Linked DNA regions of Styela clava. The protein of the gene in region 1 interacts with the protein of each later gene in a pairwise test. Links are inferred from orthologs where the notes say so. Each region holds a gene or a part of one and is shown in the gene's direction. Other genes may lie near its edges.

Evidence for each region.
Region 2: the proteins of serine/threonine-protein phosphatase 4 catalytic subunit (region 1) and immunoglobulin-binding protein 1-like interact in binary tests that used the Caenorhabditis elegans proteins (3 or more experiments, as listed by UniProt). The link is inferred for Styela clava from reciprocal best matches to the Caenorhabditis elegans genes pph-4.1 and ppfr-4.

The regions. Positions count from the first base shown.
Region 1 is NC_135262.1:728,888-742,467, reverse strand, and holds serine/threonine-protein phosphatase 4 catalytic subunit, read left to right. Parts: upstream 1-8,579; 5' UTR 8,580-8,660; coding exon 8,661-9,584; 3' UTR 9,585-11,291; downstream 11,292-13,580. Other genes in the region: uncharacterized protein LOC120332814, read left to right, coding at 1,866-3,530; sodium channel and clathrin linker 1-like, read left to right, coding at 11,439-11,546, 12,028-12,186, 12,564-12,645, 13,339-13,459. UniProt on the Caenorhabditis elegans protein: Protein phosphatase which plays an essential role in meiosis and in early embryonic mitosis.
Region 2 is NC_135262.1:4,192,458-4,205,101, forward strand, and holds immunoglobulin-binding protein 1-like, read left to right. Parts: upstream 1-6,641; coding exon 6,642-7,664; 3' UTR 7,665-9,687; downstream 9,688-12,644. Other genes in the region: uncharacterized protein LOC120332508, read right to left, coding at 1,012-1,152, 1,943-2,019, 2,368-2,494, 3,604-3,648, 5,411-5,465; TM2 domain-containing protein 2-like, read left to right, coding at 6,088-6,636; uncharacterized protein LOC120332522, read left to right, coding at 9,706-9,799, 10,852-12,302. UniProt on the Caenorhabditis elegans protein: Probable regulatory subunit of serine/threonine-protein phosphatase PP4 which may play a role in meiosis and embryonic mitosis.

The DNA.
Region 1 (13,580 bases):
GGATAAATATGTGAATCCTATCCTAAACACATTTGTGCGTGTAGGATTAAGCCTGACAACGTTGGTCCCAAGCAGCATCAAATTCTCTAAAAATAAAAACGCGTGACAACGATGGGCCACGAGGCGGACCATCGTTGTCAACCTTTTTATTTTCTTTTTATCCATTTTTTTTTTTTAATTTTTTTTTTTTTTTCGTTTCTATTTTTTAATTTTTTTTTTTAAATTTTAATTTTTTTTTTCTCTTTTTTTCCAATTATTGTTATGCTTTTTCACAACTTTTTTTTTAATTTCGCTTTTTCATTTTATTTTTTCATTTTTTTTTAAATTTTACACGTGACAATAGCGACTTTATTCCCGCGCCTTTGTTGTTACAAAGAAGGCGAGGAAAGGGTTGACTATTTATCCAGCAAAGAGGAGATTTATTTATTTATTTATTTATTTATTTATTTATTATTTACATATTGAATAATCCACATTGTGGATCCATTTAAAAAAAAAAAAAAAAAAAAAAAAAAAGAGGAGAGGGAGATTGAATAGTTCGTCAATCAAAAAATACAGTCATCAATGCAATGAAGAAGTAACAACAATAAAATTGCTTTGGTATGGACAGGGAGGGAGCGATACAACAAGTGGTGGGATTCAAATTTTTTGTCAGCCGGTTCTATCACACAAAAATTTCATATTTTTCAGTCGGTTCTGTTACAAAAAATCATGTTTTTTTCAGTAATGCTAACCAGTTCGCTGGTCTCATAAAATTCCATGAGACGGTTCTATAGAACCGGTGCGAACCGGCTGAATCCCACTACGGGCTACGGCACTCACAATTGGATACCGGTACACCCGGTCAACCATACCGTCATCGAGATCAACTCCAGAACTCCCATCATAAGTATAAGTTTATTTCAACTCCATTATCAGCATAACAGTAAAATGATTGATAAATACAAATAAATAAATAAATACTGATTATCAAATCAGTAAACCATTTTCGTTTGTAGGAATGAGATTCAAATTTGAAGATGACTTAAACCAGTAATATTTTTACATGATTTAGAAACAACAAATTCTGAAATTATATCAATGTCTGAATGTTACATGCGGGTGTAAGGGATTGGGGCTTAAGCTAATCTCCATAACTGGAGAGTTTATAAGATGTTTCAGATATCACAAATCAGTGGAAGCTTGCTTCAGTGCTTAGAGCCTTCTTTGCAGTGAAAAAAGATTATACAAATATAAGGACAACTGTTGTTGAAACTGTCTATCAAAATGTTTATTTCATGTTAGAACCAATGGTAGGAAGTTTCTTGTCTTTATCAGAGTTCAACAGCCGGAAGTTTGAAACATTTGTATAATTTTTGTTTGTTTATTTCTGGCCCAAGCCTTGTTACTTATCGATCTTAAGATTGGTGAGTATGTTGATAGGTATTTGTCTGTCTGTCTGTTAGATACACACGATATCTCACGAAAGCGAGGTTGAATCTGCTCCAAATTTTGCATGTGCATCCATCATAGCTCGGATCAAAATCCTATTGATTTTCGATGAATTATGTCGTATAATTGGTAAGTTATTTATTAATTAGTGATGGGACACACGGTGTCACTATGGAGTGAGAGCGCTGTTTTGAGGGATCCCCTAACCTTCGATCGATAAGTCTTCGGTTATATCTCGTTTTAATAATAGGTTTGTGATTTTTTGTGTGTGTGTGTGAGCGGGAACATGATATTTCACATGTTTCCAACTTTTTACAGGTTTCGCTTTCTCTCAAGAATTCTCCATTTTTATTAGTGTAGGCCTATATATTATGGTGTTTTCAAAATAAACTATCTATCTATCAAAGTCTAAAAGTGAAACGACCATCTTAAAAATGGATCCAAAACTTGTTGAACTTGCTCTTGAATGCTTCCGAAACAAGCCAAGGGTTAAAATTAGAAAATTGAATATTTCTGGAAATGATTTTATTCAAGTAAAAAATGATTCTACAAGTGACAAAAATTATGTTCAAGTCAATGTAACACAATCACAGAAAGGGAAAGATGTTAAAATTGAGAAGCAAAAGAAGGGGCAAAATTCTGGTACAGGAGGGAGTAATGATAATGTGGCAACACTGACCGTATCTAATGGTAACAGGAATCAAAAAACAACAAAAAAGATAACGAACGAAGAAAGAGAATCTGTTCTTGTAGGAAATGAATCAGAACATGGTTGCGAAGTTTGTGGCAAAATTTACGAGACAGAATGCAGCTTAAGGAAGCATTCATGGACACACACGAAAGGAAAACCATATTCGTGTGATATATGTGGCGCCAAAGTTACAACTAAGAACAGCTTAAGAAAACATATGCGAATCATGCACTCAGAGATAAGAGTAAAATGTGATTTATGTGATAAGGAATACAAAGAGATATCTACGTTGAAAGCTCACAAACGAGCTGTGCATGAAAACAATAAAAAGCATAAATGTACCATTTGTGACAAGACATTTCTCTTTCTAAGTGCTTTGAAAGTCCATATGGACACTCACTCAAACCTGCGTAAGTATAAGTGCCACATTGAGGGGTGCAATAAAGCTTACTTAATGAAAATAGCACTTTCTCACCATCTACTGGTTCATTATAACATTCGCCGATTTGTTTGTGATATTTGCGGAAAGAACTTCATTATTAATGCACATTTGAAACTCCATATGAGAGTACATAGCGGAGAAAAACCATACAAATGTAAATATTGTGGGAGAGCTTTTGCATATAAAGCATTTCTCGTTAACCATACACGCGTACACACAGGTGAGCGTCCTTTTAAATGTAAGGATTGTGGCATGGATTTCAAATATGCAATAGCATATACATACCATAAAAGAAAAAATCACCCAAGTGAAACACAGCCAACATTTGCCTGTTTGATTTGCTCTAAATCTTTTCGGGACGAATCATCTCTAGCACGACATATGTTAGTTCACACGAATGAAACTCCTCACAAATGTGAGACATGTGGACGCGGTTTTAAACTAGAACAAAACTTAAAACGACATTACATTGTTCACACAGGAGAAAAACGATACAAATGCACGATCTGTGAAGCAGAGTATGGGTATCCAAACTCGTTAAAACAACACATAATTGGCGTACATTTGGGAAAAAGAGACTATAAGTGTGAAATATGTGCGAAAACTTTTGCTCGCAGTCAAACACTTGCTAGTCACCTATATATGCACAAAGGCGAAAAGAAATTTCCATGCAAAAAATGCGGCCGTAAGTTTCGATCCAAAATCATGGTAGCTGTTCATATGCGAACTCACACAAAAGAAAAACCATTTGAATGTGACATATGTGGGGACAGATTCGCTCATTCAAGCAGTCGTGATATGCATTTGAGACTGCATACAGGTGAAAGACATTACAAATGTAAAAAATGTCCTGAGTCATTTATGCACAGATATCAACTCTTGAAACACAATGGCTCCCAATGCAGATTCAAAGTTCTTCCAAATGAAAACGATCCAAGGATTGTGGCGCTAAGTTATGTCAAGTGATGAGAAATTGATTGTTGTAAACTGCTTGTCTGAGGAAGTCTAACTTTGGTCAGACGAAACGTTACAGAAGTACATTTGTGTTAGTGTGCAGCTGGACTTTTAATTGGATAGTCATGTTTATTCCGGTGACAGCATCCTTGCAGTATACACATATCCACTAGCATCAGTATTATTAACCTGGTGCTTTTATTGAAAGATGCCATGGGCGAAGAGATATGGCCAATGCTGTACAATCTACGTTCCGAATACCTGCTAGAATGTTATTACCAGAGTCAAATATGGCACAATATTAGCTGATACCAAAGGGATGAAAGAAATTAAAGGGTTCGAAGGTGCCATGAGCTAGTAATTGTCATCTTGCTTTTGCATGTTAACGATCATCTCTTAATCTTACTGTGTAGGAATGGAAAAAGATAAAAAAAAATTGTAGTAGTAACGCCATTAGTATCTGAGAACTAAAACATTGTTCAGAGCAAAAACAAAATAGCAGCCTCATGGCTGCTTATCTGAGGCCTTCTTCGGGGTAATAACATAGACACTATCATTGGAGTCTAGAGCTGGCCGTTGCTGCCACAGCCAAACTCAAATTTTGAAATCAGCATTATTTTGATGTGTTTGTATTCAGTGATGCGTATATAAATGACATGATGTCGCTAATAGGCTATCTAATTTTGGAAGAATCATATGGCTGTTCCTGTTGTCAATTTATTGTGGTGTTGTTTTCCCATGATTGTGTGATTTAGAGATAATTTTTTTATGAGATTGCTATATTTGCTGCTATATTACAGCATGTCGCTCACTGGATGACTCACTGAGTCTTTCGCGATCCCATGTTAATTGCTATGAATCAATGTTTCGTTTTTTTAGTTTACTGTGTTTTTCTTTTGCTTTATATTGAATCTTGCATGATGAAAAGTAAATATCGGAATCTGATGTTATAGCTAAAATATACCTCAAGGAATTTGTTGAGTTTTGGCAAGAGGCGCATTGTTTTCCACTTTCTTTTTTATAAAACCGTAAATTTTGTATTTGAAATGTAACTTTCATGCTACACTCACATCTGATTCAATACTCCCGAATTTTAATAAAATGTTTGGTTCTGATTGATCTATATTACCGGTACAAAAAAAATTTTTGCATTTTCATCTTTTTTGCTAGATTTCCTGTTAAGTTTTGACACGTACATTGAGAAAGAAATTTTTTTTTCAAGGTTTTCCCAAAATCGGGTTTTTGTCATATTAAACAGCCTAAAACTCAAAACATAGTTTGGTGCTGTTTTTTTAGTGTTTTTGATATTCCAGAGACATGGTTCTTTGTATTGCACCTATGGATCGCTTTGTTATTATGGGTTCCATTACATTTGAACCCACGACAATTGCACCTGCATACTATTGCACCTATGGAAATTACACCTTCGGATATAATTTCACACAATAGCGCTTATGAAAGTGGCCGCATTTTATGCCAGACTCTCTATTGTTCTCAGTGCAAACTATGATAAACAACTCAAGTTTAAACAAAGGTTTTCTACATTTATCTTTTACAAATCTTTTCTCATGTCATGGCCCCATCCAACGTTGGTTTCTGGCAAGTTTATATCCCGAACAAATCTTTACGTGTTTCGTGAGACTTAGTGTAAAAACATATCAATTCAGCGACCCATACCCTATCTCCATCTTTTCACACTGGAACCTGGGATATGGACGTGCCATAAACTGACTATTGTACATATCACCGTTGTGCCTTACCTATTTGTCTTGTGTATTTTACTAGAGTGTTATTTGTATATTTCATGTCTGTTGTCCTAGTATAACGCAGCAGTCCTAAACTGCTGTTATCATTGTTAGGGGTACATGTCGCACATCTGTGTCTTAGGCCAGGAAGGTCTTGAACATGTATCTCGTCTCTGTTTTACTGTTTAATTATTATGCAGATACTGTTACATTTTTGAGGCAAATAAACATACATACATACATATTTGAACCCATACTAACCCTAACCCATGGATTTAGCTCCCGCATATAGATTGAACCCGTGGATATACTGGTGCGAATGTATGGGTTCAAATGTGCTGTCACTTTATTATGTTGTTGTTATACAAAAAAAATATTCCAGCTATTGAACCAACTTTTCAATGGTAAAAGCTTTTACTTTTATTTTGTGTAAAACTGTCATTAGTTTCAACTCTTTGAGTGTTTTTGATTTGTTTTTCGTGTAAAAAATCGTTAAGTAGCAATACAAACCCATTTTAATTTAATCTGTGCACAACTGGAACTGCCTCAATAATTTAATGTTCAACTTCTTTATTACTGTCGCTGCTCAATAATTGGTACTGTTTTACTGCGTCTCCTTGAACTCTGAATTGCAATTATTTCATATTTCTCCACTTACAATTTATGTTTTTATCATGGTAATTACTGGTTCACTAAATTCCAGAGCTCACTGTAAATACCTCAACTCCTGGCTTCTGCACCTAATCATGCAATTGATATGCTTTTAATCTAATTTGTATGTTATGGTTTTGTGATGTTGCCTAGTTTTTAGTTGTCACGTTTATTCTAGTCACCATACTTAAATTGCACTATTTTTGGACCTTTTCCAGTTTCCATGTCACTATATATTTTTTGATCAAGTTAGGAATTGTTGTTACTTGTCGATCTTAAGATCGGTAAGTATGTTGATAGGTGTTTGTCTGTTAGATACACGCTATATCTCACGAAAGCGAGGATGAATCCGCTCCAAATTTTGCATATGCATTCATCATATCTCGGATCCAAAGCTTATCGATTTTGGATGAATTATGTCGTATAATTAGCGAGTTATTAATTAATTAGTGATGGGACACACATGGATGATAAGTCTTATCTTTATTTTTTGGAATGAAAAATTGAGTAGACAAAAATTCCCCCTCCTTGGAAAGTTACGTATGTAGAAGTGTTTAATGGAGTAATGACCAATCTTTTTGTAAGTCCACTCATTACTTATCGATCTTAAGATCGGTAAGTATATTGATAGGTATTTGTCTGTATGTATGTCTGTCTGTGTGTCTGTTAGATGCACGCGATATCTCACGAAAGCGAGATTGAATCTGCTCCAGATTTTGCATGTGCATTCATCTTATCTCGGACCAGAAGCCTATTGATTTTGGGCGAATTATGTCGTATAATTAGCGAGTTATCAATCAATTATTGATATAGTGATCTAGATTTTTGTAAAGCGAGAGAATTTTGAAACCCGCCGAGTGTGTGTGTGCGATGCGCAGTGCGCAAGTTACAAGAGCGGATGAATCGAAACTGCAGTTTCTGTTTCGGGGGATCCCCTAACTATAGATCGATAAGTCTTCGGTTTCCAACCGATATTCTCGTTTTTATTTTATCGATATCCATCTTTTTCGTGACACTGGTATTTTTTCTGTATAAATCATTGTTCGTAGGTACAGTTGTAATAAATATTGAAAAAGGTATGTGTGCACCATGATCTTTATGTGCAACTGCTGAGGTGGAGTTTCAGTGTTGGGATTTACATATTTATCCCGGGGGAGAGAAAAGCTGATAAGACGGCTTAATCATGTGGCGAACCACGGCCTCTCATCCGGTCACCAGTCCAGGTCGGGTATGGGATTAGTTAGCCAGTTATTTGTTTTCGGAAGCATGGAATTGATGGTGGACGAAGCCTTAAACAACCAGTGGTTACGTGAACCACCCTAAGGCGGCATGGAGTCCAGCAATCCTCTCGCACATGATCATCCCCACATGGGATTCGAACCCACGAAAGGTAATCAGAGATGCAGTGGCCGGCGTATTCCTAACGCTTAGCACAATGCGCCAAACCGCCGATTGGTTCTGACGGGTAATGATTTGCACGCGTGTTCCAATGAACGAGATAGGAAGGCTCAAATATAGCAGCGCCACAAGCGCGCATCTACACCTATGGGAGGGAAAACGATAAGCAGCGAGATTGCTGAAGTGTCGACGAGAGGGAGAGATTTCTTATTTCGTCAACTTATAAAATAGTCATCAATTAAATAGCAGCAGCAATAAAATTGTTTTTGCAAGGACATGAATTTACGAAAGTTATAAAGAATGTCCATGATTAATACAGGTCAGTAAATTAATGGGTTTTATAGTGCTCGAATGGACAATGACCGGTGACCGCACTGACGCTTGAATAAATCTTGAAGTTCTAACCCTGCATTTGCGTATTCTCGATTTTCCCATTGTCTTGCACGTTTGAATTGTATTTATTTTTGCATTAATCTTTCTAGATTGGTCTCTTCTTTTAAAGGGCGAAAAATTTCGGTCTTCAAAGGTATAGCAACTTGTTGCATATCAGTGGATGCTTGTACAGGGCCTTATTCGAAGCGAAAAATGTCGCAAAATTTTTTGTGTAAGCGTAAATATATACTACTACGTATAAGTACAAATACCAAATGCATAACAAGTCAGAAAACTGCTGTAATTTGGAATGATGTTTTGAAACGCACAAGCACGCGTTCACCCACCGACAGTTCACTTACTCGAAAACAAATTTTGGTAACTTTACTAAATTGCTGTCTTGTTTATTTGTCTTGTCTGTTGCAATTTTATTTTTGTACCATAGTTCAGAAAAATATATATCTTATTCGAATCTCGCATCAATCTTTGTTCACCGAGGTTTGGCATTGCACCATCGTAGTTCTATATGATTTTTAGTGGCTATTAGTGGCTATCATTGATGGCATGTAACATTTCTCAGAGGCAAGTCCACTCTATATTAGAGGAAGATGCGCCTGGACAAGCTTTGAGTAATTTTTAAAAAAAAAACTAAACAAACTAAATTAATTTGTAATGAACATTTCGCATAGGAAAATATTTTTTTTCTATAACTTTGAAATTTCTGATTCCTGAATGAAAAACGCTTTTGTAATCTTTTTCATAATTTATTCTTTAATAAAATTAAACAAATTAAATTAATTTGAATAAATATTTCGATTCTTATTCTTAAAAAACGTTTTTTTTTTACTAAATCCAAAATCACTGATGCGTGAGAAAAAAGCTTTTGTTCCTTTTCGTAATCCTTCTTGGATTTTCGTTTGAGCGTTGACGTTCGTTTTTTGTGTGAAACAGAATTCGGTTTGTTAAATTTGTGAAAATGTCTGATACTAGCGACCTAGATAGACAAATAGAGCAACTTCAAAGATGTGAAATTATTAAAGAAAGCGAAGTAAAAGCTTTATGCGCCAAAGCGCGTGAAATTTTAGTCGAAGAAAGCAATGTTCAGAGGGTGGATTCACCGGTAACCGTGTGCGGAGATATTCACGGTCAGTTTTATGATTTAAAAGAGCTTTTTAAAGTCGGTGGGGATGTTCCGAACACGAATTATCTATTTCTCGGTGATTTTGTGGACAGAGGTTTCTACAGTGTTGAGACGTTTTTACTTCTATTGGCTTTGAAAGTCCGTTATCCAGATCGTATTGTCCTGATTCGAGGAAACCATGAAAGTCGACAGATCACCCAGGTTTATGGTTTTTACGATGAATGTTTAAGAAAATATGGATCGATCACTGTTTGGCGCTATTGTACTGAAATTTTCGACTACTTAAGTTTGTCCGCGATTATCGATGGAAAAATCTTTTGCGTCCATGGTGGGTTATCTCCATCAATCCAAACTCTAGACCAGATTCGTACTATCGATCGCAAACAAGAAGTACCACACGATGGCCCAATGTGCGATCTACTATGGTCAGATCCAGAAGACACCACCGGGTGGGGTGTCAGTCCACGAGGAGCTGGATATCTTTTCGGAAGCGACGTTGTTTCGTTGTTTAATCAATCCAATGATATTGATATGATCTGCCGTGCTCATCAGCTCGTAATGGAAGGGTATAAATGGCATTTCAACGAAACCGTTTTAACTGTCTGGTCGGCTCCGAACTACTGCTACCGCTGCGGAAACGTAGCTGCCATTTTGGAACTTGACGAACATTTACAGAAAGAATTTACAATATTCGAAGCCGCACCACAAGAGGCAAGAGGAGTTCCGATGAAGAAACCGCAAGCGGACTATTTTCTCTGAGATAATATTCTATTGTTTTATTCACTTGTTCAAAACTTTTATCTCCTCAAGTCTCTGATTGAGTACATGGTGAATCTAATGGAATAATAACTTATGGGTTTGTTCTTGATTGCTATTCTGAGTCTCTGTATTCTATTCTGCTGTTGTTCCACAATAACTTCTAGTGGGTGTAGCATAACAATTTTTTCAAATGACATTCCTAAAGCCCACCTGACCACGTCTTTCAAAAATTACATCACTACGACTTCACAGTGACGTAATAAGGTCCACCAAAATATACGGATGGTCGTCCAAAACGCGTTAACTATTACCTGAAGTCTAGCAATCTATTTTGCTCATCTCCGAATATGATAGAGATCACTGGTGTTAGTGAGTTCTTTATAGTCAGCGCCGATGCCATTTTGGAACTAATTTTTTAGTGACATAATTTTTGAATGACATAGTCAGGTAGGGGTTAGGAATAACAGATGCAAAAATGGTTATGACAAGCCCACCAGAAGTACTTGTGATACTAAACTACACCGACCCACTATTCTGTTGTCGCCTGATCAGTTTCCTTTTATATTCTTCAACTCCCTAATTGAGAAGAAGGTTATCCATGCGGATTTGTGTCCTCATTTATTTTAGTATACCATGGTATTCTTATTTTACAGCTGCTTTGAATTGTACTTCTTAATAAACTGTGTGTCACAATAAATTTCAATGAGTCTCGAAATATCAATCCATCATTTTTTGAAAGGCACTTCTTATCTGCCGAGTTTGAAATGTGAAATCTAGTTTGTTGAATTAACGTTGCGAAAATTATAATTGTTTCTGTATCTAAGAGGCTATTTTTCTGTTTTATTCATGTGTTCAGAACTTTTTTAACTCCATTTCTCAGTGAAATCTCTGAATTATATGAACTCGTGGTCCAGGGGTGTGCGACATTTTTTGTTGGTGATGGGAAGTTAAAGTTTAACATTCCATATCCACCACCTCCTCCGGGATGTAAGAAATCTCTATCAGTACTGAAATAACCCAAAAGTATTCCCTTCATACAAAGGGTACTTTTGTGGACAGTTTTATCCTAGGATAAGTATGTTTCAATGGCTGTGTGCACATGGCCGTGTTCAGAGAGAAAGACATGGAAATCGCTGCGCAAAATGAAGTCTCGAGTGGGCCCTTTTCATGGAGGCCATAAATGTCTTTTCATTCCTTGAAACTTTATTTTCAATTCTTACATTATTTTTTTGCTTGGAGAATTCTTTTCATGCTTGAGTGTTTTTGTGCTGTCATTTCAATTTGCTTTAGTATTGTTGACCTCACAATTTTCTTTTAGGAAATTTATTGTCGCTTCATAATCGCAGTGCTTATTTCTTTGTGATGTGATAATATAATTTTATGCTATGCCCTCAATTTGTAATGTTCATATCAATCAGACCTATTTGAACAGTTTAACATGACTGACCTGGCAGCTATAACCCTAAAGGGCGGGACCCCCAACTTATAATAATACTCGAAGGCTTTGTAATGATCAACTGCAGAGGTTTTTACAGCATAATATTGAATAATTTATGATCTGTACCAGGACCATATTCTGCAGTATTCTGTTCACTCAACCGTGAAGGATTCTGCCACAATTTCCCCTAATTTAGGCCTGTTATTTTATGTATTATAAAGTGTAATTTATGCCAATTGAAAATTTGTATGTTTTCTTTTAAATATAGATGTCTAAAATGAGAAGTTTAAAAGCTAGCTAGACTATTTCGAAAGGAAATTTTTGACAACTGGAACACTCAATTATTACCGGTAATCAAAATATTGCAAAAGGGAACACTTTGATTTTTCCGATTGGAATATTTCGAAAAGTGCAGAATGACATCACAGGTGACCGACCCCGTTGAAGAACTTGTCTTTTTACGGCAAATGGTCCAGAGATTGAACTCTGCTCTTGCAAAACACCAAGGAACAGACCATAGCCTGGTAGGTCGCCTGACAGAAACACCATACATCAAATTGTGGAATTGTAGGGTCAGAATAGTGGTGGGCAAACTGGGGCCAAATGCGGCCCACAAACAATTATTTGTAGCTCTTGAACGACCGCACTGTTAATGCATAACAACAAAAATTATCGTACGGTGTTTGTTTTATAGTAATTAGCATAAACGAAAACACATGTCAGTTGTTTGTCCATTAAATGTTGAACGTTCCTATCATTAGTTTGAAGTAACATAGGAATACGCCTTGGAAAATACTCTTGGACATAATTGTTCTTTGCCTGTTTTGTTACACTGGCAGTAGATTTGAGAGCTTACAAGTGATGACTGAGATTTATTTTGGAAGGACAAGTTTCAAAAGAATATGATTTAAATTTAGAGATGGATTTCCAATATGAACAATATTAAAATTTTTCAATACGTCTCGAACATCTTTATGCGAATCTGATCCCTTATTTTCTTTACAGTTAGATGCAGAAGCGTCCATTGACCCTCCGGCACCTTGGCTGACGAACCCACAACATTTGGCTCCGTTACTGAACGAATATGACACTCATCTAACACATCTCGTGTCCCAAGTTACGAAGATAAAAGATGAAAACCATGAAAGGAAATTGCGATTGCAGGTGTGTGTTTTTATATGTGTACGTGTCTTCATGTGTGTTTGCATGGGAGTGTGTTATGTAGGTTTTATATTGAGCATGCTTACATTTTTACTGGGACTTAATTAGGTATGTCCAGAATCAATTGATTATTTCAAAACATTCAAAATTGGTTATATTCAGTTTACTTTTTGACTTTATGAAGAATTTAGAATATTTTCATTGGAAATATTTTAGCATTTATTTTTTTACAATTGACGGAAAATTAGTTAAATCCTCAAGGAATAAAATAGATAATACTAATTAGAACAATGTTACCTCTACCATTCTGCTTTAACAAATTTGATTTCTACGACTTTCTACGGTTTTGGCCATCCCTGATAACTTCAGTTATTTTTCAGTCTGTCTCCGAAGAAAATCAACGTCTTCATGCAGAATTGCAGGAAATTGTTCAACAACAAATGAAAGAAGCTGATTATACAGGTGAGCATGGAGATCTAGTGTAGTTGTTTTTAAATCCCTCTGCCACTCACTTCTGCTCTTCAAAAAAAAAATATCTAGTTATGCTTTGCTCGTCATGTTTAATAATGAAGACAACCGAAAGCAAAATAATAAAAGCATTGCAGTCAAAAAATCAAATGAATCACAGTAAATTTCTTCAAATCAATGAGGTTGTAGTAAATGGTCGTAAGTTATTTAACGCGAAATATTTAATACAAAAAAAACCAACAAACGAAAGCAAGAATAATTATACCATCACTGTAAATTTACTTTAACAAATAGATGTAGGCACTGCACTGGTAATGATATTTAGCAAAGATCATTGCTCCTAGCTCCCATAAATCTACTCTGTGGCCCCTAGAGAGGGGTTGGGGCCAGTTTGAGTAACCTTCCTCTTGAGCAGAGCTGGGTAATTATCTTTGCTATGGGTCTACATCGCAAATTAAAAATGCAGTCGTGGGCTGGACTAAGTAAAGTCAAAGTTTGTGGTACACAACTTGCACAGGCCTTCCTTATAGTGTATGAAGAATGCACAAATTCAATTTTTGCCGTCTTTTCAGATCACCCACAAGGCCAGGGCAATGAAATGCTTGAGAAAGAGTTGGGCCAGTTTGGGTAACCCTGCACTAAAGCCCATGAAGATTAAAAAAAAAATTTTTTTTTGCATTTGTTCAGATCACCCGCAAGGCCAAGGTAATGAAATGCTTGAGAATCTTCAACGACAGGTAGAATTGGCGAGTGCTGAGAAGGAGGACGCTGTGAGAATGTGTCGTGATACAATGCAACAGCTAGACAAGTATGGTTTTTATTAAATATGTTCGCCACAAACTTTTGAGACAAAGTAAAAAAAAAATATTGATTGATATGTTGTTTAAGAGGTTCCCGAACTAATAAAACTCACAGCATACTACTTTTTT
Region 2 (12,644 bases), about 3.5 Mb from region 1:
TTGATTACCCTGCATGGGTTAGCAGGATCGAATCTCACTAAGGATAGTTATATGCTAACTGACTTCTGGACTCCTCATCACTATAGGGTGGCTTACGTAACCGCTGGTCAGTTGAGACTTCAACCATCAAGCCCATGTATCTGAGAAAATGCGAACCCATGCAAGATAACCAGCAGTGTGATATTCATGATAATTATGGCTGTCCAAATCGAATATATTTTGATTCAAATCAAATTGAATATTTTTCTTGAATCGAATCAAATAATCGAATATTATTGCACAATCCTAAATCTATCTCCATTGTACAAGAGGACCCATCCGTTGATATTGTGATAATGATAATCATGAAAATTTCGCATGCATTTTGAGCCGCATAAATATGTTTTTTAATATTATTGTACAATCCTAAATCAGTCTCTACTGTACAATAACCTTGATGATATTGAGATATAATCATAAAAATTTTGCATGCATTTTGAGCCACACAAATTTGTTTTTTAAAAAATTTCCTGGAAGCAAGATAATGCACACCCACTCAGAAATAAGGAGTCTAATTTCAAAATAATATCACTAAGTAGTTATCGAAAAAAAATTGATATCAATATAGAAAAACACACTCAAATTTAGGCCAAGATAGACTTAAAAATAATCAGAATCAGCCATAAAAAAATCATCTCTATTGTGAAAGTATTCAAGCAAGACATAGAAAAGACAACATTTTGTTGGTTTGCTTATAGTCAAGTCAGATTCATTTTTTCCAGCAGTAAAAAAGTCAGTTTTACACAAAATACGAAGAAAAAAGAAAATCATAAATTCTGACTGGGGAAGGGAAGTCGCTAACCAAAGCTTGATATCGAGTGGCGACACCTAATGATCTAATTAGAATGATCGAGAAGTATAGTTCCGTAACTATTTTTTTTGTTAAGAGTATAGCTTTTATATTGTATAGACAATTATTCTCATTCAGGGATAGATAAATATAGATAAAACACTAACAGTCTATACAATTACCTGCATCGTATATCAGTTCAATATTAGACTGTCTTAACATGAATTCTCTGTGAACCCAAATCCATACAATATCAGAGCTTGATACAAAGGGTGGAGGTGACTTTGAGCCGCAGTATCTTTTCTGCTGAGGTTGAGGAGAATCTGTTGATAGAATATTTTTTGAAATTTTTCAATGATAAATATACTAAATTATGATTTAGGAATTTCACTATTGGAGGTATAAATGAAGTTTCTTTAGAATTTCAATTTTGTTATTAAGTCAGTTCTCAATATATCTCAACCAGGTTTATTGTTATTTAATCAGTAATTATTTTTACTTCATTTAATGCATCTGTGAAAAAAATAAACAATATATGGTATCGATAAATTCACTTTGCATTTTTAAAAAATTTCAAGACTTTATGAACACGGTAGAACACCCTATATATTATGAGAAAAACAACTTCGTTTTGATAATTACCGGTAGATTCAGGTGTCTGTGTTGTCTTATAATAAAACAGTCAAAAATAATCAATATTGGATTTTTTTCATGTTGCAAGCAGTACTTATGAATAATAATTTATTAAATTGAGAATTAAATAATAATTTTTTATTCTGTTTGCATTTAATTTACAATGAACCAAAAACTAAAAATTACTAGTTAGTTAGTTACTAATAGAACGTTTTACAAATACATTTGTAAGCACTTGCTTTATATCAACCTGCTATGATATATTAAGTCGGTAAAAATCAGTTGTGAGTTTGCGTCAAAACTGATCGACTATCAACCAATCGTATGTGACAAAACACCTACTTGTTAAGACACATCACATAACAAAAACGTATGAGAAAATAACCTTATGAGAAATATATTCTCCTCTTAACAACATTTGTAATAATTTGTTTCAACGACCCTTCTATTAAGATCTATCATACAATAAGATCTTTGTACCTTTCGGTGTTCCAATCTCCAGAAAGTTGGAGCAGTTTCCATTCTCATCTTCGAAACCAAAATTAAAATCCAGAAATCTGAAACAAAATATTAACTTCAATATATGCTCCAGAAGTGTGTGTACCGATATGAAGGTAACTAATGCTGTTCGCCTACTTTACATCAAGTTGTATAAAAGGATGAAACCTATGAGCAAGGGATATATTCACTCGGCTAACACAGACAGTCCCCAAACTCGTAATAGAACTAAAATAAGGGAAATCGGAATAAAATTATGGCCTAGCCCTAACCTGGTACACACACTACGGAAGTAGCATATGATCTACATAGAGCAGTACTCAGAAGTGAAAAAGCTTTGTTCAAACATCTTCCAGAGAACATTTTTTCATTCTTGTGCGATGATATAAATTACACTAATTGCTCACCTTACAGATAATGTAGAGTGATCTTCACTAACTATATATAAACAGAAATCTCTAGATCTGTAAATATCATCCTTGAAATTATATTCCCCGCTTATATCTGTTAATGTCTTTGTAGATGAACAAACAGCTAAAAATAGAAAATTAGGAATTTGTATAAAGATCGGCGTGTAAATATTTATCTCGGTATAGATTTGGCAGATAATCAAATCCGTTGTGAAAGATTTTAAATGATTTAAGATGTAACAAAAAAAGGTCAATAAATATATTATTCTTAGTTTGTGTGCATGAAATAGGAAGAATAAGATTTATTCATTTATCCCGAGAAAGAGGGAAGCCGATGAAACAGCTCAATCATATGGTGAACCACGGCGCCTCGTCCGGTTACAGGAACCACCCTACAGCAGCGAGGAGTCCAGCAATACTCTCGCTGGTAACTATTCCCGCATGGGATTAGAACCAGCGAACCCACGCAGGATAATCAGAGGTGCTGTGGCGAATTTTTAACGCTTAGCATGAGGTGCCAAATTGCTGGTGAATATGAATTTCCAAGAATATGCTGAAAAGGACTGCAAACACGAATGAAGATCAATCGCTAGCTCTTCTAGAAATAAGAAATACGCCTCGTCAAGACTTGAACAGCAGTCCATCAAAGCTATGTTTGGTCGATCAACCAAATCGATTAAACCTTAAATTCCCAAACAAAAACTAAAATTCAAAACGCCCATCCAGACCTCGTCCAAATCGTAAACCTTCTATTTGGATGAAAGACTATGTAACTTAGTAATGACTTTAACTTGAATTTGAGTGTTAAATAGTATTGCTCATTAATGTGCCTTAATTGTAATAGTCATGAATTATGTAATAGGTAAAGGTGAATATTTCATATTTGAAATTAATTTGTGAAATTGATCTTAAACAAAGAGGGATGTTGATGATGACTAATAATGCCTTGTGGAATAACGTCCCCAGTAATTGATTGTGCTATCTGTCTAGTGTTAACGTGTCGCAGTTGCGCCACTCGATAGTTTGTTGTTGATGTATGCGTCTTATGTCGTGTGTTATGCTGGTGTAATAAAGATATATAAGCATATTCAGTTGAACCCTTATTCAATAATAGCGTGGGTGTAGAACTTAACATATAACCAAGACATTAACAAGTTAAAAGCCTGATGGAGCATTCAGCACATTTGTATCATCTACTGCATGTTCTTAAACCACATTGAGCGCCATACTTACGATAATTTGGAAGTGATGGTTCGGAAATCCACTGTGATAAAGCTTCTGTAAAGTAAGATATTGAAAGGATTAAAAACAAATATCAAGAGTTATTATCATTTATTGTGAAAAAGAAATTTTCAATAGCATGACTAAATAACTAGCAGTTAATTGGCTCCAGGTGTATGGGTCTAAGTGCAACATGTAATTGTTTATCATAGTTAAATTTCATAACTTCGAAGCTTGATGAATCAGTAGGAATATTTGGCAACAAAAGTAGATGCAATGTGGGACTCTACAGCACCAATTTATAAGGATATCTTGATATAGCCATAATTAGAAGCCAGACAGAGAGCCAGAGCAGGGCCAAGCTTATCGCAACAGACAGTACGGCACACTATACAGATCGAGCGACATTGTCTCGTTTCAGAGAAACCCATTTTACCGATGATCAGTCACCCCTCCTTTGGGAGACGTCTGGACATTGTTGTCCCTCAATATCAGTAAAAATACAGTATAATGAAGTTGCGCAAAATACTACGAAGAAGCGCAATCTAAAAATGTCATCATTAAATTCTTCTGGAAAAAATAACCCGATTTACCTAAGGAAAAATTTTTTTACCGTGGTATTTGAAAGTTTTCAGGAAAAAACAGCAATTTTGGTCACATGATGGCCACGATTAATCAAGATTATTATTGAGACAAGCATGGCGCAATATGACTCATATGCCGTCGTGCCAGACGCCCCTCATTTGTGAGACACCTGGGAGTGTTTGTTTTATTGAACTAAATGGAGGGAAACTCTTGGAATTTAGATAGTGTGCCGTACTGACATATGGTTTTTTGATATGTCAATCCCAACCCCCCATATGACTACGCCATCCAAAAATTATGTCACTACGACATCACAATCATGTCATAGAGCTTGCCAAATATACACACGATTGACCAAAATGGCACTGGCGCCGACGATAAAGAACTGACTGATGTTATCGATCTCTCTACTATTGGAATCATTGAGACGAGAAAACGAGAGAAATAACTGTTTGATTTCGCAAGTGCAGTTTTAAGTATTCTGTGGCATCTGCAGCTGCCGCAAAACCATGGCGGTATTTCCATACCATGGCCGCTACGGCCAAACTCATGGCAACTGACTTTTTAGCTGCCACAAACCAATGTCGAGCTGCCGTTACCGCGGCAGCAAATTGAAAATCAATGGCAGGTAAAATTTTGCTGCCGTAACCGCGGCAGGTGGGCCGTAAAGACAGGGCTGTCTATTATTGTGACAAATATTGGGTAAGTTGGAACGTTTTTCTTATGGATACAGTTTTGATTGATTTGGGGTTAGGGTTAGGGTTTAAGTAGATATAATTCCACATGATCAATTAAAATCTGGTACATTAATTTGTGAATATACCGTTAATACTGATTACTGAATACTGAATAGCGCTATAAAACCATGGCAAGAGCTGCCGCGGTTCGTTCGTGGCAGGAGCTGCCATGAAGTGGTAAGAACTGCGCCTCTGATTTCGGGTGCTCGTTTGCGCGTCTTGGGTGGCAGTTCCTATAGGTTGAAGGGTTCTACTATGTCACTGTGACGTCGTAATGACGTAATTCTAGAATGGTGTAGTCAGGTGGGTGTTAGGATTGATACGTGAAAAAATTGTCATGCTACGCCGACTAGAAGTACGGTATGTTAGGTACGAAACTACATGAGACCCAAATGCACTGGTCTGTCAGACCATAGCCAGTCTGTAGTTTCCCTTTCCTACATCAAAATTAAGAGAAAACAAATTTGACTTTTCTAATAAACAACATAAAAACTTACTTTTTCCGAGTAATATCATAAATAATAAAATATGAAGTGTTGATACATCCCTCATGATTTTCCCATAAACGAGCCTTTGCCTTTGACTGTCAATTCTTTCTTTCTCTGTTCTGACTCATATGACGTCAGAGGGAAGAGGAGTTCCCCAAAGTTTACAGTGAAGAAAGAGTCTCAGTGTACTTCGCTTTTGGATTAAATTTATAAATATTACAATATTGAATATACTCCTATTACATTGCTGTTTCGATAAACGTAAACGTAAGTTAAATGATGTCGCATTGATAAGTGATATCAGCTGATTAGTGACGTCATAAATCATTGCAGATGTGATGTGAGTTTATGTTCTTCATTGAAATGCAAATTTTCATTTAATCCATACAAAGAAAAACTATATTTATAAAACAAAAATTTGTAAGGAAATATTTGCTTATTTTATTGGGGTATTAAAAGTATTTATGAAAAGATAGGCAACAAAGAATTTATGCTAGGTATTGAACACATTGACTCCGTGCACTATCATAAGTGTTACTAGCGACAACTTGCGGACAAGTTATTCATGAAATGCTGATATTTACCAGACGCTAGGTGGAAGTCGAGTGTCGCAAATTTTCGTTGAATTTTGCGATACGGCGCTGGTGTTTTGCGTTTTCATCATCGATTTTGTTCTTGATCGGAAAATGCTAAATTCTGGGAAGTTGTTCTTGTTGACTATCTTTATAAGCGCTTTGACATTCTGCCTGTCTAATAATTCTTCAGAAGAACCGGTAAACCCATATTCGCCGTTAATACAGTGCTATCTTCTCCCCGACGAATTTATTGAGTGCGACTTGCCCTCGGTTTTTCCAGAGAATAAAACAGACGTAGAAGACGACGTTGGCTGCGAGGTTCAAGATTTTGGAAGACAAAGATATCCAGAAGTCAAAACTACTAGCGTTTACTGCCGCGTACTTGACGATACAATCGACTGTGCTGGTGATCGCACTTTCAAAAAGTCAGGAATTCCTTGTATAAGATATACAGGGTACTGTTTTGTAAGCACATTACTTTATTCGGTTTTCCTTGGATGTTTAGGGGTTGATCGATTTTGCCTGGGACATTCAGGAACTGCAGTTGCCAAACTTTTGACACTAGGTGGTGTTGGTATTTGGTGGTTTGTTGATATTATTTTACTCCTTTCTGGAAAACTTTTACCGAACGATAAATCAAATTGGTGTGAATATTATTAACAAAAATGTCTGTTGATCCAGATGAACAAAAGTCACTTTCAGAACTTTTTTATGAGGCTTTTCAAATTCACACCGACATTGAAAACACTTCCGAGCCCACAAACTCAGAAGCGAATCAGATTTCAATAAAACGAGGGATTAAGTTATCACAAATTGTTCAAAGTCGAACTGATGAGCTTCGATTGTTTAGCACTAATGAAGAAGTCGGTGAAATATCATCAATAAATCTAAAGTATTTACTTTCACCCTCTATTTGCGGCGTTTTAACATCTCTCGTACAAACCGCCAGAGAAGAAAGAAAATCTTTATTAATTTCCGCTGAGAAACTCATTTTCCAATTTCTTGATAGGTGTAAGGATTATAATATTGGCCCCATAAAAGACATAGAAAGATGCTTAAATGTAGACGATTCAAAAACTGTTAAAAATAATCCTCGCGATTTAGCGTCAATGAATGCTGAAAGAGAAGCAAAAATAGCGAAATTTAAAAGAAACAAAGAGCTTGAATCAAGGTTGAAACATCTGAAATCATCGTTGCCAGAAAATGACTCAGAATCAAGCAATGTTGATGACGAAACTTTACGTAATTACTGGTTAGCGGTAATTGAAAAATGGATTGATATTTCTATTGAAAATATCGGAAATATTTCACAAGAAAAGGAAATTTTAAGTTTTTGGGAAAATATGCCGGATAAAAATAATCCTCCCGTTCCTGCCCCATCGACTTCACGAAACAATAAAAAGCCACAAAACTTCATTCTCACAAGAGACAAAGCACAAGCTGCTGTATTCGGGGCTGGATACCCCAGTTTACCTTCTATGACTGTAGAACAGTATTTTGAGTCCCACGTAGCCGCTGGTACTCTACCAGATCAAGGCATAGGACCAAGTTCGGGGGCAAATGGGCAACAAAATGGAGAAAACTCATCGGATGATGAAAGTGACGACAAGTTGAAAAAGCAAAGAGAATTCGATGATTGGAAAGATACTCACAGAAGAGGGGATGGTAATAGAATGAACATGGGATGAAGTACAATTACATGAACTTATAAACTGTTTTGCGCTGTAATTTGTTATTGTCACAACAGCTCCTCACACTCTAGTGACCCCATGTAACTTCGCTCAGAGATAAATGTCCTGAGAGTGTTATTGATTTAAGCAAATTTCACTATAATCAAAAGAAAAAATGATTGATCTATACTAGTGCTTACTAACCTATGTTTTGTGGCCCCCTTACGGATGGTTTTAGCACTCATGGCCTCTCTGTTTATCCTTCCAGTGATATTTATAGTGTTATTTTGATTGGTGGATTTCAAATCCCATTATGTTCAGAAAACACCCTGCAAAATAACCTTATCAAGTAATGAAACTAGGAAGAACGGGGAATTTTTTAAAAGGAAAATCAGTTTCGCGCCTATCATTGTGGCCCGTCACTAACTGCTTTGTGGCCCCCTTGGGGAGCTGTTGGCCCCAGGTTGGGAACTACAGATCTGTTCTTTTGGCTATATCTTCATTAGATATCAAAGTTTGGGCATCAAATTGGCATGCATTTCAACATTATTTCATTGGACTTATAACAGTTAAAATTTCGTTGCATAGCTAGGTTTTGAGTATTTTTTATGGCGTTTTTATACGACTTTGAACAAGGCTTCGTACAAGCGGCCACTGTTATGCCAAGACCTACTATATTTTGAGAGAATCTTCATGGTTCGACACTGCCTGCAAAAAACAGCAGACTTTCAGATTCTCACGGCGGTGGCTCACGTAAATTAGTGAAAAATCCTGCTATTCAAATATACATGAACTTGTATATTTTGAGCAAATCAAGTAAATTTGGGAAAATCAGATATTGTTCACCTTAAATACAAAATTTTGATACATTTAAAATGAATTAAAAAATGTTTGTGTTCTTCAGATACATGGAATTACTATAAATGTATACCGGTCAGTGCTCTGTATACTTTCTTCATACAAAAAAATTTCAGTTGTCAATATTTTTCAATGAAATATTACGGTAACAATTTTAAATTGCATCAGATAATTTTGTTCAATATATTTAGTTCAATGTAATTTCAGACTTTATTGAAATTGTGTATTTTAAAACTTCAGACAATCAAAACTATGATTTATCGTAATTTACATAGTGCCACAAAAACTGAACCTTATTTATCTACGAAAATGAAGAATATTCATTAATTAAAACACTTGAAATTTTATTTCTGTATGATTGTACCCAGAAGTTCCAGTAATCTAAGACATTTTGCACAAAAGTTATGTTTTCTCTAGAATGTTTCAAATGACCTGGATTTTGTTTTTTTGAGTCACCTTGTAATAATGACATCTGTTTATTACTTATCGATTTTAATCGGTAAGTATGTTGATGGCTATTTGTCTGTCTGTTAGATGCACGCGATATCTCACCAAAGCGAGATTGAATCTGCTCCAGATTTTGCATGTGCATTCATCATATCTCGGACCAAAAGCCTATTGATTTTGGACGAATTATATCGTATAATTAGCGAGTTATTAACTAATTAGTGATGGGACACAGGGCGTCACTATGGAGTAAGAGCGCTGTTTTGGGGATCCCCTAACTTTCGATCGTCTCTGACCGATAGTCTCGTTAGGTTCTTTTCTATCAAAACTCACAGTAGAATACTCTGGAATATATTTTGTTTGAATACCATTTCCAATGAACTTGACACGTTGTTTTGTACAGATTTAGTCGTTTTTTTCGCAATGCTCTTCCACCAAGCAGCCACTGAACTGATATCTAACGATACGTTGGGAGCTACTATTATTCAAAAGGTTGAAATCTTCAAGTTTATGAACCAGACGTCTGTTATCTTCGATGCCAATCCAACCACTATGCTCCACCGTGCTCCCAAGTTCGACCGTGTCCACTTCATTAAGACAAACTATTTTGTATATTATCATTGACCTAAGTTCCCGTAATGTTTCGTTATCAATTCTGTGGAAACACTAAATCATTATTCCTTGTAATTCTTTCAACTGTACTGTACTGCTGATTTTTTATGTTCCATAGACATAACTAGTTATCTGATAATTGATGGAACTGGATGAATTACAACGATGGATTGAACATTTATATAACAAAGTAAAAGAATACAAAGAACGTGCGGAATACCAAGCATATGTTTTAGGTGAGGTTACATTGTTTTTTGTTCTTTATTAGGATGGGATGAAAATTTTCTTTCCAGGGGGGGAGAGAAGACTGCTTATTCATAAGATATACCACAGCCTCCTATCCAGTTCAATGTTGGGTGGAGCATTAATTAGCCAGTTATTTGTTTCAGATTCATGAACGGAAGTGTAGTGGTGGGGTGTGCAACCTGCATCCCGCCAAATGAGTTTTTAATATATAGTTTATCTGGTACATGCGATTAATGTCAATCCCTTCGCGTTGCAAATCCTATACCCTGAGTCCAATTTATTATCTATTTGTATGACATTACACTGCTCTAACAGCTAGCGAAGCGAACACACATGTCATGAGATCAATAACCAAAATTTTTATGCTTGCAACTACTAGAAAGCCTATAAAATAAATAATGGTGCGGCATGCAGTTTCACCCACTTATTTGTATCTGACCCCCTGTATGGAAGGTTGCACACCCCTGGTATGCTTGACCAAAGTAATGTTGAATATACAAGGCGTTAATAAAGCCCTGTATTAAATTAGGCAAAAGGACTCGCTCGGAACCAGCCTGCTATCATTTGGATGACTGGAACTTTACCGATTCAACATTGCCTACCCCTTGGGTGAGGTGATGAGCCTTAGATTCGAACAGAACCATGTCTTCATAGTTACCTAAGTCTAACACTCCCACCACTCGACTATCATGTCCGATGTCTCCACACACAATGACTTCTCACAAGATTCGAACTAAGAACCCACGCAGAATATTTATTGAGTGGTTCGATAGCATGTAGCGTCTCTATAGCACAGTGGTTCTCAAACTTTTTGAGCCACGCCCCTTTTTAGAATTTCTCAAATCTCGTGCCCCACCTCAAAAATAACTAGCTACAAATAACAGTTAGTAAGGCGAGAAATTGTTTTACCCAAACAGAGGATCAAATTAAACAAATAATTTTATTTTTAATTAGCTTCACGCCGCCTCAAAAAATTGTCTGTTGTAATTTTTTGTTAAATGTTGATGAATTTCAGATGTTTAACCAAGATATTCTATTTCAGATGAGATTTCTCAACCATGGCCTTTCAGTTCTGCTCCTAAATCCGCACAAGATGGTTACAAACAATCAATTGAACAACGGAAAGAAAACGAAGAAAAAATATCAAAAGTTGCAAACTTTGATAAAGAACTTGAAAACGTAGAAGACATATTACAAAAGGCTAGATTATTGCATGAAAAAGTCAACGAAAAACCTGCAACGAAGACGCAAAAAATTAAAGAAAATGAAACAAAAAAAGTGAATAGTGCTCTACCTCAAAAATCCGATCCCAAAAAAGGCTTAATAAAGAGTGAAAGATTATCTAGTACCTCAAATAAAACGAAAATCGTGCCAAATTTAAGCAGAAACTCTAAAATTTTGCCAAATAAAGCATCGTCAAAAATTTCCAATCCTCCATTTTATACAAAACCCACAAGAGGCAGAATCAGATCAGCTGGATACCAAAGAGGACAAAATAAACCTACAGTTAAGCCAAACTCGAATAAATCTACAACCGTTTCAAAAAGTTTGGAATTATTGAAGCAAATAAAGGTGCAAACTACACAAGTAACAACAAATGATGAAAATATTTCTAAAACAGAAGATAAAAAAATTTCTCCGCCCTTATCAGAGCATAATAATCCACCAGTCGTGAAAAATGTTGAAATAGACTTTACCAAGGTCAAATTAAAATACAGAGACTTTGCTAATGACCTTGAACTACCTCACAAGGTCAGAAAATTGTTATCGACTCATGAAAAACTTTGCGATCAAGCGTGTGATGCCTTACATGAAACTGAATGTAAGGAAGAAACAAATTTTGTTAAAAATATGGCGTCCTCGGCAGGTGACACAACACTCGATGGCACTGTAACTCTGCGGACATTAGAAGCGGTAAATTCAGAATTGGACAAGTGTATAGCAGTTTCCACTAATGCAATAAATATTTTAAAATATCAAAGCGAATACCAGCCACTTGGTAGAAACTCTAAGCTAAGATGGAGCGAACAGCAAAATACTTATTTGAGATCAGAATCTGTTAAAATAGTAGAGGAAGTATACTACCATTTGTGGGAAAAAGTAAGATATTTTTCAAACCTGAAAATTCTGGTTTCTAATGATAAAACAGAAAAAAATGATTTGAATTTTAATGCAGATTTGTTATCAAGTTTACGCTTGGATAATTTTGCTTGTTTCCATGACGACCTACCGTACCCAGCATCTGTGTTAACTTACCAAACATCAAGAGAACTTTCAAAAAAAACTTGTGAGCAACTAATGCATAAATGTTTAATCATAGAGAAAAATTTATTGTGGAATATTTCGAAAACCTATTTTAATTTGATTGGCAAAATGGTGAGCGGTGAAAAAGGCGGTGTGCCATCTGAAAATTTGACTCATGTGTTACAAAACACTTATGGCTTGTTGGGTGAAAAAAAAATTTTGCTTCCCAGCTATGTATTGGCTGAATAATTCTCCCATAGTATGTGTACCTGGTACCATAATTTGATTCCAATTTTAGATCTATTACGAGTTCGGGAACTGTCTGTGTTAGCCAAGTGAACATACCCCTGCCCATAGGTTAGGCCATAATTTTATTCAGATTTTCCTTACTTAGTTTTATTATGAGTTCAGGGACTGTCTGTGTTAGCCAAGTGAATAGGTTTCCGTCCCTTTACACGACTTGATGTAAAATTGGCGAACAAAATTAGTTTTCTCAGACCTCCATAACGTCTAGAGCAGGGGTGGGCAACATACGGCCTGCGGGCCGGACCCGATTTTGACTGGCCCGCTGACTGTACATCAGTACACTAT